Ovis aries: one gene and its partners. The protein of the gene in region 1 interacts with the protein of each later gene in a biochemical or structural test. Links are inferred from orthologs where the notes say so. Each region holds a gene or a part of one and is shown on either strand. Other genes may lie near its edges.

Evidence for each region.
Region 2: the proteins of EPN1 (region 1) and REPS2 form a complex in vitro, tested with the Homo sapiens proteins (3 studies listed by BioGRID and IntAct, with this or other methods). The link is inferred for Ovis aries from reciprocal best matches to the Homo sapiens genes EPN1 and REPS2.
Region 3: the proteins of EPN1 (region 1) and EPS15 form a complex in vitro, tested with the Homo sapiens proteins (4 studies listed by BioGRID and IntAct, with this or other methods). The link is inferred for Ovis aries from reciprocal best matches to the Homo sapiens genes EPN1 and EPS15.

What each region holds. Positions count from the first base shown.
Region 1 is NC_056067.1:62,656,356-62,660,467, reverse strand, and holds the start of EPN1 (epsin-1), read left to right. Parts: upstream 1-1,309; 5' UTR 1,310-1,553; intron 1,554-1,615; exon of another isoform or gene 1,616-3,768; intron 3,769-3,995; 5' UTR 3,996-4,076; coding exon 4,077-4,112. Other genes in the region: U2AF2 (splicing factor U2AF 65 kDa subunit), read left to right, coding at 15-149. UniProt on the Homo sapiens protein: Binds to membranes enriched in phosphatidylinositol 4,5-bisphosphate (PtdIns(4,5)P2). Modifies membrane curvature and facilitates the formation of clathrin-coated invaginations. Regulates receptor-mediated endocytosis.
Region 2 is NC_056080.1:15,177,213-15,181,522, forward strand, and holds the start of REPS2 (ralBP1-associated Eps domain-containing protein 2), read left to right. Parts: upstream 1-1,501; 5' UTR 1,502-1,653; coding exon 1,654-1,887; intron 1,888-4,310. UniProt on the Homo sapiens protein: Involved in ligand-dependent receptor mediated endocytosis of the EGF and insulin receptors as part of the Ral signaling pathway. By controlling growth factor receptors endocytosis may regulate cell survival.
Region 3 is NC_056054.1:25,880,219-25,883,745, reverse strand, and holds part of EPS15 (epidermal growth factor receptor substrate 15), read left to right. Parts: intron 1-37; coding exon 38-127; intron 128-1,096; coding exon 1,097-1,242; intron 1,243-2,847; coding exon 2,848-3,004; intron 3,005-3,527. UniProt on the Homo sapiens protein: Involved in cell growth regulation. May be involved in the regulation of mitogenic signals and control of cell proliferation. Involved in the internalization of ligand-inducible receptors of the receptor tyrosine kinase (RTK) type, in particular EGFR.

The DNA of each region.
Region 1 (4,112 bases):
TCTTGTTCCTACAGATCTTCGTGGAGTTTACCTCTGTGTTTGACTGCCAGAAAGCCATGCAGGGCCTGACGGGTCGCAAGTTCGCCAACAGAGTGGTCGTCACAAAATACTGTGACCCCGACTCTTACCACCGCCGGGACTTCTGGTAGAGGCGGCGGGGGAGGGCAGGGGTGGAGCTGGCTGGGGGCTTCTCCCCCTCCTGCTCCCCCGTTTTCCCCCTCTGAAGACGATGGGCAGAGGAGTGACAGCCGAATGACAGCCGGCAGCAACTGGAATGGCAGCAATTAAGGGTGGGGGTGGGCTGGGGTTGGGGCGGGGCGGGGACTGGGGAAGTGCGCACACAGACCCACACAGACACACGCACCCACAGACACAGAGGGAAGGGCGGGGAGGGCGTGACCGCAGGGAGGGGTTGGATCCCGACAGCCCCTCCCTGAAGCAGTCTTCTCCCGGATACCCCCTTTCTCTTACCCTTCCCCACCGTAGAAACAGTGTGTTTATATTTTATGGCCAAACTCTTTTGAATTTTGTTGTCCGGCCCGGTACCCTGCCCCTTCCCTCTCAGGACCACAGCTCCCGTCCTCCTGGCCTCTGGTCCTCGCCCCTGTGTCCTCCTGGTTTCTTACGTAGTCGATTCTCTCTAGTCTCCCAGACTTGCCCCCCACCCCGTGGCCCCTGTCCCTCTCCTCCTCTCTGTGGCAGTTTCATATTTGCTAAGACGAATTTGCTCATTAAACATTTTGTTGTATTTTACTTTATGGAGCTGTTACGTGTCCCGTGTGTGTGAACCCTTTGCTCTCCAGGTCTCGGGTTCTTTGGGCCCCAGGCTGAGGCCTGGCTCTGGGAGGTCTACAGGCTGTCAACCCCGGCTTGGGTGCCCCTGCCCTTGGCGCAGCCGAGGTGACGTTCGCCTGCGTGGCCTGCCGCGCTGGGACGGGCCGGGGCGTGGCCCCGGGGAGCAGGGGGCAGTGAACTGGCCCAGCAGACAGCGGGGAGGGCGGTGGTCGGGCAGCCGGCTGGCCTGGTGGCCCCAAGAGCTCAGGTCGCCCAAGGCACCGCCGGCGGTGGCGCGTGGCCCGGGGGTCCGGAGCTTGCGCGCGGAGGTGGTCTGGAAACGATGCGTTCCCGACCAGACTCTTGCTGCGTACCCACCCTCTGTCGGCTCGCGGCGGCGGGCGGAAATAAGGCAAAAGGCCACGGGTCCCGCGCGCCGGAAATGACGACACGTGAGAGGGCGGGGGCTAGGAAGTGGCGATTGCGCAGACGACGGCCGGGTGGGTCGCGGGGTCACTTCCGCTTCCGGTCCGTCGCCTTCTTCGGTTGCTTCCCGTCCGCTCGGCGGCTCCCCTCCCCCGCCCGGCTCTCCGCGCCCCTCCCGGGCGGCGGGGCGGCGGGGCCGTCGACGTGCGGCCCTCCGTGCGTCCGCGCGTGTGCCCGAGCGCGGCTCCGCGTCCGCCGCCCGAGGCCCGGCACGCTCCCCGTGACACCGAGGCCGAGCGGGGGCAGGGGGCTGCCTGCCATGAGCCCCCGGAGCGCGGCGTGAGCGGCCCGAGGTGAGCGCGGGCGGGGGGCGGGGAGCGAGGGGCGGGCAGGCGCGCTCTGGCAGCTCCGCGGCCTTCGTGTGTCTGCGCCCGCCCGGCCTGGACCGCCCGCGGCTCTCCGGCTCTCCCGCGTCTGCCTCCCGCGGGCCCCCCGGGCCTCGCCGGTGCTCGTGTCCGTGTGTGTCTCGGCGTTTCCACAGAGCGCTCGTCCCCGTGTGTCTTTCCCGGTCTTGCGCTTTTCTGTCACGTGTGGGCGTCGGAGGGTCAGAACTAATGCCAGTGTCTCCGGTCTGTGCCTCTCTCCCCGCCGTCCTCCCGTGTCATGGTTGTCCTGGTGCTCGTCTCCTCCAACCCCGAGTCCCTCTCGGCGGGTCTGTCGTCCTCCCAGGTTCATGAGTGAGGGGTGAAGAGCCCGACTCTGCAGTCAGAGGCCCACTTTGTGCCAGCCTGTAATATTTATAAGCTGACCAGACAGTTCCCTAGTCTTTAAAATAGTAGGGCAGCCGTGCCTGATAACGGAGGTGATGCTGCCCCTCGCCTCTAGCCTAACCTTAGCTGCTGGGAGCTCTGGTTCCCATTAGTACTTGTAGATTTTCTCTCCCACACGGTTAAGGTTTGATATCGTTTGATATCTGAGTAACTGTTGGAGAATTTTGTCATATCATTTGTTTTGTATTTGGTCTAGTAATTTTGTTTGGGTCAGCCAATTGTGAAAAACCTTTTCCTTCTTAGCCGTACCCATGAAGTCTTAGCTTTGCTGTGGTGTTTTTCTTCTAACGTCCTTTAATAGAAACACACTGTGTTAAGATAGCACATCTTCTTTCGAAAATGTTTCTGTTTCTGCTGATGAAAATCAGCCGGTGTTATTGAGCTCTTATTATCTGGGGGTCGGGGAGTTGAGTACTTTATGTTCCCATTGTATTTAATCAACAAACCTGGCAGCTGGAAATCCTTTGCTTTATTTCACAGTTGAGCAAACTGAATCCCAGGGAGGCCGGAATTTGGACACAGGTTTCGTTGTTCTTTCCCGTTTCCTTGTCTGATTTCTCAGCCTCAGCTTAGCCTCTGTTTGTCTCTGGGCCTCTGTCTTCTCTCTTTGCCTCCCTGCCTCGCTCTGGTCTCGTTTCTTTATCTGTAGCTGTGTCTCTGCCCAGGTTTCTCTGTGCCTCTCTCCTCTTTCTCTCCCTTCCTCTCAAAGGCCCCTGCTCTGTGTCGCACACAAGCGTCGTGTGTTCGTGTGTCTGGCTGGGCCTGTCTCTAGCCCTGGCCATCTCTCCAGCCATTCACAGCCGTCCCTGAGTGCCTGGCTCCCCTGCGTTCGGGGCAGGGACTCAGGTGGTAGGAGGCCTCCACAGGAGAGGCTGTGGGCGATGGTCAGAGCCTACTCTGGGACCCGGCTGCCCCCGGGGAGGCCCGGGCCTGGCTTCCTCCCTGTGAGGCGTCAGCGAGTGTGCAGCGGAGCAGAGGCGCAGGCGTGGCCCTGGGTGAGGCTGCAGAGGGCTTCGCAGATCCCCGTCCCCCTCTTCTGTTTCTTCTCCGTCGCCCTCCCCTCAGCACAGGTTAAGTTAAAGGACCTGTTTTGGAGCCTGTGCCGCCTGCCCAGTGTGACCTTGGCTGGGCGCTTTAGCTCTGTGGCCCGTCTCCTCCTGTTAGAACCTGGTGTCGGTATTAGATGAGATCACGTGTGTCCCGTGCTCCCTGAGTGTCAGGCACGCCGCCAGGGCCCAGCCAGGGGGCTGCACTCTTCCTTATCTCCCCCCGGCGGACCCCCTCCCGGCCATCTCCCTTTCTCAGCCTCCTCCCTGTGTGCCCTTGTTTCTGCCCCCACCTGCTCTGGAGGTCTCTCCTGCCCACTGCCCCCTTCCCCCAACCCCCGCTTCCTGTCCTTCCTGCTCCATTTACTGAGTGGCTCTTCCGGGCTAGCTCTTCTGCCGGGAAAAGCCTCGGCCGTCCAGAGTTACGTGGTTGCTGCCCCCACGGGCTCTGGGGGCGGCCTCAGCCCAAGTCAGACCCGCTTAGGAAATCACGAGGACAAGCCCTGGTGTGGGGGTGGGTTGGGCTGGAGGTTCCTGTGGAGCCCAGCGGAGGACAGGAGGAGGAGCGGGGTGGCTGTCTCAGGACCCACCCGCGGGGACAGTGCACGCATCCCAACCCCTGGCTTCCCTTCCTGTGTCTAGACTCTGGATCGAGGACCCATCTTACAGAGCAGAAAACTGAGGTTCTGGAGGTGCGGGTTAGGAAGTGTTGGCTGGGGTGTGCCCCAAGGGCCCGTGGCCCCCTGCAGGCTCTGCCACCGGAGCAGGAAGGTGCTGGGCATGATTGAGGAACTGAGAGCCAGTGGGGTGACGCAGGCGGTGCCTCGCCGGCTGTGGCAGGAACCCCGTCCTGCACCTCGAGGGCCAGGCGGCTGCAGGCCCCGCGCCTGGTTCTGAAGGCCCTCCCTCCACCCTCCAGATGCGGTGAGCCGCCCGTCGCTGCCGCGCCGCCTGCCCGCCCCGCCCGGCTCCGCTCGCCGCGGGGCCCCCGCCCGCCGCCATGTCGACCTCGTCACTGCGGCGCCAGGTGAAGAAC
Region 2 (4,310 bases), on another chromosome or scaffold:
TAGGGATTATTATATCTCACATTTCTTTTTACAGGAGTCACAGGGAAAATTGGGGTTTGATATTTATCATGGAGAATACGTCCCTTTCTCACCTTTGTTAGAATGGTGGGCCATTCTCAGGGAAGCCTGACCATAAAGGGAAAAATGAGAAGAGAATAAACATGATCTCTTGGCTTCCAGTTTTCTTGAGAAGGTTTTATAGTTGTGGAAAATACAATGGTGGTGAGATTTTTGAAGTGAAAATTCCTGAATTAAGTCAGTCTTTGTTCCTCCTAAGTTACCTATCGTTTTGGTACTCTTCTCCAAACCTACTTATGTCTTAACTCACTCCTGGCAAGTCTGAAGCAAACAATGGTATAAGGAAATCTGAGTAATTTTGGGGATCCTCATTTTCTATTTCATTTTTCCAGATTCCAAAAAGGAAATATTACTCTGGGCATCATTTATGAATTAACATAATTTTTTTCTTCTTATGTTTCTCTTTTTATCTTTGCCCATTCCTGTGACTTTATGTTTTTTTCTTTTCCTCTCTTCCTTTGCTTGGTCCTTATCTTAGTTGAACAAAATACCAAAGCATATTTGTTATCATTAGTGCTATTGCCTGACTTTTTTTTTTTTTTAATTTGGCTATGCTGGGTCTTAGTTGTGGCATGTGAGATCCAGTTCCCAGACCAGGGATGGAACCCAGGCCTTTCACCCACTGCATTGGGAGCTTGGAATCTTAACCACTGGACTACTGGGGAAGTCTCCGTTTTGTTTTTAATATTTCTTTTAAAGCACTGTTTCGGGTGGAAGGTATATCTCTAAACCATGGACTGATTTTTTTCCCCTTGGGTTAGTGTTTCCCAGCCAGGCTTAATGCATATACATGGGCAAATTCTTCTCAGGGCCTTTTTCACTCCTATTACTCAAGCATTGAACACTAACCGATTTTATTCCTTTTTAAGGCTCAACCCCAGGTTTTGAGTCTTGCCTGAGAAAGTGGCTTAACCCTGTGGCCACCTTGAACACCTTGAACTTTACAGGAGTCACTGGGACCCTGTTCCTGCCCTCCAGATTTTCAGGACTGTCATGGAAAAAGCGAAGCCTAATTACCCATGCCTCGTCCATATCCCGTGCCTAGTCCATTTCTGGGAAGGGCACAGCGTGACGTAAGCACTACACTTGCTCCAGCGTTCTAGGGAGAAATCGCCACAGCCTTTCCCACCCCCTGAAAAGCGCCATTCTCCAGGTGGGAAGAGCCAAAGACGCCTCTCTCGCGCAGAGTGGACGCGGAATGACTGTGGCTCTGGCCCTTTGGATTCTGCAGCGCGGGCGGCGCAGGTGACCATTCGCCGAGCAGGCTGCGCTCCGAGTTAGTTACCTGGCCCAGCGCGGTGGGGCGGGGCGGGGCGGGGGCGGGGCCATGGTGCGATCCAAGGCCGTGATAGGTTCGTGCCGCGCCTGTCTCCATGTGCCGTGCGGCGGAGGCACAACATTCAAGTCCGGGGGCGGGGCTGGCGCGCGCCGGGAGGAAGCGGTCGCGCGGCAGCTGCGGGGCGTGGGGGCGGTGGCGGCGGCGGCCGAGGCCGAGGCCGGAGCAGCGGAGGCTGTGGTGAAGGCGGCGGCGCCTTAGCCGGGGACGGTGCTCCGCCTGCCCCCCTTTCAGGCTCCATGGAGGCGGCGGCGGGCGGGCTCTGCGGCTCTGGACCGCCGCTGCTGCTGAGCGAGGGCGAGCAGCAGTGCTACTCTGAGCTCTTCGCGCGCTGCGCCGGCGCCTCAGGCGGGGGCCCGGGTCCCGGCCCCCCTGAGGCCGCCAGGGCTGCCCCTGGCGCGACCACTGCAGCCGCTGGCCCGGTCGCCGACCTGTTCCGAGCGTCGCAGCTGCCAGCCGAGACGCTGCACCAGGTAGGTCCCCGCACCCTTGCCCTTGTGAGTCTGTGGGGACCGTTTCTGCAGGGACAAGGGGGCGGGGTGGGGCGACAGGGCCGCCGACAGGCACCCGGAGGCCTCGGCCAGGTCGCGGAGAGTGGCTTCGCAGCCTAGAATGGCGGCGACGCCCTTGTTCCCCAGGGGACACCAGCCTCCTCCACAGCTCAGCGGTGCTGGGTGCGCTCCCATCTTCCTCCGCTGAGACAGACGGACACTCCCTCCTCTCCCCGGCCGTTTCTGGGGTCTCTGCAGCCTCCCAGACCCAAAGTTTGCCTTCTTCTGTAACTAGTGTTTGTTTTGGCTGCTGTCTGGAGTAACCTCTGCTTGCCGCTCCTGCACTTCCCTCTCCTGGGTGAGTGGGCGCTTGGATGCCTTGCAGGATTTGAACTTGAAGGGTGTGTGTGTGTGTGGCCGGCGGCCGACGACTGAATGTTGTCCGCTTTATATACTACTTGTAATGTACACGAATTTACTGTACATCTGCGTACTAACGTATTTCTGCATATTAGCATTAAACTGAACAGCTTAATGACAAATTGCAGAACCGGGACACAGGGCTGCAAGAGGACATCTGTCAAGGCAGAGCTAAGCTTCCTATTTAGGACTGGACGTGGTTCCCAGACATTCACCGTGAGGGACAGTTGTAGTTTCCCATCTTACCATTATTTGGACTTGAAATAGAATTGCCAAGTAATGTGTGTCATAGCTGCCTCCTTTTGGCTGCTCCATACCTGGAAAAGGAGGAGGAGGAGGATGCACAGTAGATCAGTTTTCCTTTTGTGCTTTCCGTGGAGCAATAAGCATCTTTGTCTGTGTTTTGCTGTTACTTCGTTGTGATAAGATTCTTAATACCAGGCCCCAAATCTGAAATGAAGTTTTTCTTAAAAGCTGGAGTCAGGTTTGACAGAAAACAACAAAATTCTGTAAAGCAGTTATCCTTCAATAAAAAAATAGAAAGAAAGAAAAAGCTGGAGGCAGTTTGAAAGTTAACATCAATTGTATATTTAGAGTGGGGAGTGATATTTTAAAATCCAGTTCCAAAGGGGTACTGAGGGTTTTATGGTTCACTTGCAATATCATTGTTTGTAGATTAAAAAAATCATTTAAGAGCATTTTATACTGCTGGAGCATGCGTATGTCTGTCTGTTTGAGCATAATTTTAGCCACTCTGTAATCTCTCACTTTTCAGAATTCAAGATTTCTGAAAATATAATTAGTATCCACAGACCTTAACACGGCTGTTTGTCTCTTAAGAAGTCTTTGCTCTGGAGACAGTTTGACTTCTGCTCTTGAGCAGTTGAACTTGACCAGGTAGAAGAAAAGTCAATATTTTAAAACATGAACCATGGCTATTACATGAGGTCCTCAGAATACTCCCAAGCATAATTTATTAAATGCTATTGCTGCTTCTCAACTGAAAGAGGAATAAGTGACAGGCCGCACAGCAAGTAAGTGACAGCTGGGCCTCTGTTAAAAGGCTTATTTTGTTGTCAGTAATGCATGGAGTGTGATAAGAGATGGGTAGGCATATTAAATCTGAATTATGTTGATTGACTTCTTCTAAGGAGTTGGGGAGGGGCCTTTCCTGGTGTTAGAACCCAGGGTGTTTAAGGTTTAAAAAGAACTCAAGGCACGGTGCCTTTGTATGAATGAGATTGTATTTTTGATGTCTAGTTGAAACCTTCTTCTTGCAAAAGATGCTGGCAAGAGGGGACATCCCTAGAATATTGCTTGTGATAAATCTCAACGAGCTTTAGAGCTCCCTTATGCAGCGCAGCAAAACAAAAGACTTCCTTCCCCATTAACCTGTGTGCTCAGTCGTGTCTGACTCTTTGTGACCCCATGGACTGTAGCCCACCAGGCTTCTCTGTCTCCAGTGTCTCCTGTATTGGCAGGCAGGTTCTTTACCCTGAGCCACTGGGAAGCCCAACCTAACACAATGCAGTAATCCAGTATTCTTTGCACAGGTGAAAATGAACATCGAAGGCATCCTGGACAGAGTAATGTAATCAGAAGAGATTCAAACAAAGCCAGCAGCCATCTAATTTTTACTAACCACGTTGGTTGTGTGTGGTGTGGTGTGTCTGGGTGTGTGTACGTGCATGAGCACTCAATTTATCTTGACTTTCACTACTCCATAAGTGTATCAGTCTTTAGAACAGATATAGATGTTTTTAGCCTTTCCCTGTTAAACAGGAACTTGTAAGTTTAATTAAGTGGTCCAACAGGTATAACTGCCCCATTTGTGGAGGCACTAACTAGCCCTGTTAGTTTCTATGGTAATGGATTGTTTTTTTCTTTTTAATAGGCATACAACTAAGATTACCATAATGTTCCAGGAAGATTGAAAATCTTACCTGAAGTACATGTTCTATAAAAATGCCTTATTTTGTCTCCTC
Region 3 (3,527 bases), on another chromosome or scaffold:
TTTTAATATATATGACTCTGGTTCGTCTGTTTTGAAGGCCATGTTTTTGGTATACTGCGCACTGGAGAAAGAACCTGTGCCAATGTCCTTGCCTCCAGCCTTGGTGCCACCTTCTAAGAGGAAAACGGTCAGTATATCAGGCCCTATGCGGTTGATCCCCTCTTCAGCATCAGCCAAGGAATCTTACCACTCCTTCCTACCAGTAGGCATTTTACCTACCAAAGCACCGTTAAGACAGGTATAGATTTATCATTGTTAAAGGACTTAAAAAAAAAAAACAAAGTGCATGGCATTTAACAACTGATCGCTTGATGAAGATAGAAGGAACAATCAAAGGGATCAAACTTCAGGGCTCCCTCTGGTTGAACTTGTCTAATGTGATGTCCTAGAGAAGACAGATAATCCTCTCCTATATTTGGCCTTACTTAGGTCATATGGATGTTTTGTTGGCTTTGCCTTGATCTACCTGGAATTCAAGTTGGAGATAAAAGATACACTGTGTTAATCTGGCATGCTTGCTCTGGCATAGTTATTAGATGTTTTGTTAGTTTAATGTCAAGTTAACTCTTGATTCTTTGGGGGTCAAATTATCCAATTTTGTGTTGTCCAAGGACTTTTTTTCCTGTAGCCAGCTGCTTGTTAGGTTGAGTGAAGGAAAATAATGACAGAATATGCAAACCAGCCACCTGATTCTTAACTGTTCAGCTACAGTTAAGAATGCAGAATGAAACTGTAAAAAAATGGAGATTTGGAATTATCTGAGTCTTTTTACAAACTCTCCCAGTTACATATATTAATATGGTCATTCATAAGTCAAGAGTTAACTGTGCTTGAATTTACTCATTATTAAAACAAAATAAAATGGGCATCTGTAAATATAGGCCCTATATCTAACCTATATTTTTTTCCTGTAATTTTCTCTTCATCACAGCATTTCAGTTGGGGTGTGATGGAAGTGACACACTGTTGGTATAGTTAGTGGGATAGAGTTGCTGAGAATTTGTGACAGATACTGTCATGACTTGAAAGGGGACACTTGAAAGTTTGTTTCATTTTGGCAAAAATACATATATATATATGTATTTTTTTCCTGTAGTGGATTGTATCCCCTGCAGAAAAAGCTAAATATGATGAAATCTTCTTGAAAACTGATAAAGATATGGATGGATTTGTGTCAGGATTGGAAGTCCGTGAAATCTTCCTGAAGACAGGCTTACCTTCTGCCTTACTAGCCCATATTTGGTAAGACTTTAAGCTGATTTAAAAAACAAATAATGGTTCTGTATCAGCTCTACTTTTGTACATTCTTATTAATATTTTAGGCATTAGTAAGTAGGACAGTTTTTGTTTTAGAACTTTGTAGTGAAACTTTTGTCTGATGATTTTATTATTAATAAATTTATTTTTTAATTGGAGAATTGCTTTATAGTATTGTATTGGTTTCTGCCATAGGACTGCGCAAATCAGCCATAATTATACATATCCCCTCCCTCTTGATGATTTCTTCTGAGTAGTGGACAAAAGCTTGAAGATAGGTTACCTATAATTTTATGAGGTTGACAGTGTCAGTTATTAGAATGTTAAAATCCAGCATTGGTTTATATCAGCTATTAAACTTCAGTTTTTAAAGGAGAATCCAAAATTCTGAAATTTAAACAGTATTAAAAAGCAGAATCTTGAAAGCATTATTGTATAATTCTGTAGAATATATGTATACTTACATCTTTACATGGGAACTACACACTTGGTCCTTAAAAGTGACAAACTTTAGCATCTTTAGTGAATTTCACATTAAATGAGATAATATATAATGAAAATGCTTTATAGTGAGCCTGCTGCCAATGTGTCTCATTATACTGAGGTTAGTTATCATGAGGTTTCAAGGGGCAGACATCAAAAATGGTACCACATAGTTGCAAAAAGGAACATAGGAAAGAACAAAGGACAGTAGATCCTAGGCTGGGCACTATGCTGAATAAATGGCAGCTGTCATGGGCTTCCCATTATGCCCAAACTTCTTATGTACTTTGTTTTAATTCTCACAGTAACTTTGCAAGATGGATGTTATCTCCACTTTGTAGATGAAGAAACTTAGGCTTGGAGAGGTTAAAAATTATGGCCAACTTCATAAGAAGAAATAAGTAAAAAAGTGGAATTCAAGGTTTCTTTGACACCATAGTCTGTAGTCTTTTTGTTAGGCCACGTTGGTTTTCGGTGAATCATTCAGATCAGAACTTTAGAAAGCTGAGGTTTAGAAAAAGGAAAAAGCAAATAGAATAAAACATTGCTGTTTCTCTTCAAGTAATTTTGTAAAGGTTTCCAGATTGCTGCCTTCTTTCCACACGTGATCTCCATTTGCAGCTGTTGTTTTTCTTTGATTTGGGGACCTTATATCTTCCTACTTCAAAAGTTGCAAGAAACAAGCTGACACAGGGTGTTTTGCTTGTTTTATAATCATTGTAATGCCATGAACGAACCAAATTTGTCGAAACTTTAGGTTTTATTTAACATCTTTTAATGTGTAAAATGTTGGGAGCAGAGACTATTGGCCCACCACAACTTTTACTCTGTAGTGATTCTGGAAATCAATAAGAAAGCATAGAGCAAACCCAAATTATAGATCCCCCTGCTCAGCACCAAGGTGAATGGTCTCTCTTTCTTACCATTTTATTAATAGCTAATATCTCTCTTCTAACATGTTAGTGAGTTTTGGGCTAGCCATGAGTTGGTGTGACTCTTTTTTAATTCAAATGATGATTATTTTAAAGCTACATAGTCATTTTCCCCTGGATTTTTAGAATGTTAGTTGTGGCATTTATATACTGTTCATTTTGTTTCTTTGCGCAGGGCATTATGTGACACAAAGAACTGTGGGAAGCTTTCAAAAGATCAATTTGCCTTGGCTTTTCACTTAATCAATCAGAAGTTAATAAAGGGCATTGATCCTCCTCACAATCTTACTCCTGAGATGATCCCGCCATCAGATAGGGCCACTTTACAAAAGGTGAGACAGCTTAAAACCTTAATGCAGTTAACAGAAACAAATGCTGTGTCAGATGACAAACTCAGTTTGTATGGAATAGTGGAGAAAATGTATCTGGCTAGAAACAGAGCAGTATACTGTTTGTAGTTTAATTTGTACCTATAAATATGTTCAATGCCTTGTATGATATCCTTGGGCTATAGCTCATTTTTCCCATCATTCATCACACGTATGGCAACCATGTTTTCTGAAAATTGGAAAAATTTGATCTTGTTTTTCCCCTCTTAGATTTGTGAATTTATTTTTATTAATAGAGTGTTGATTTTAAATGAAATCTATAAGAATTAAATTATTATGTGTATTATTAATATTAAATTATTATGATAATTCACACTTGGAGAAAACTACGAATTTGAAAATAAAACCTGAGAGATTATGATTATGTGTTGTTGATTTTACATAAAAAGAAAAGAAAAACTTTTTGAGGAAAAAACCTATGTGGCTTTTGCCATATGGATGACCTCTATTCCTGAACATGCAACCA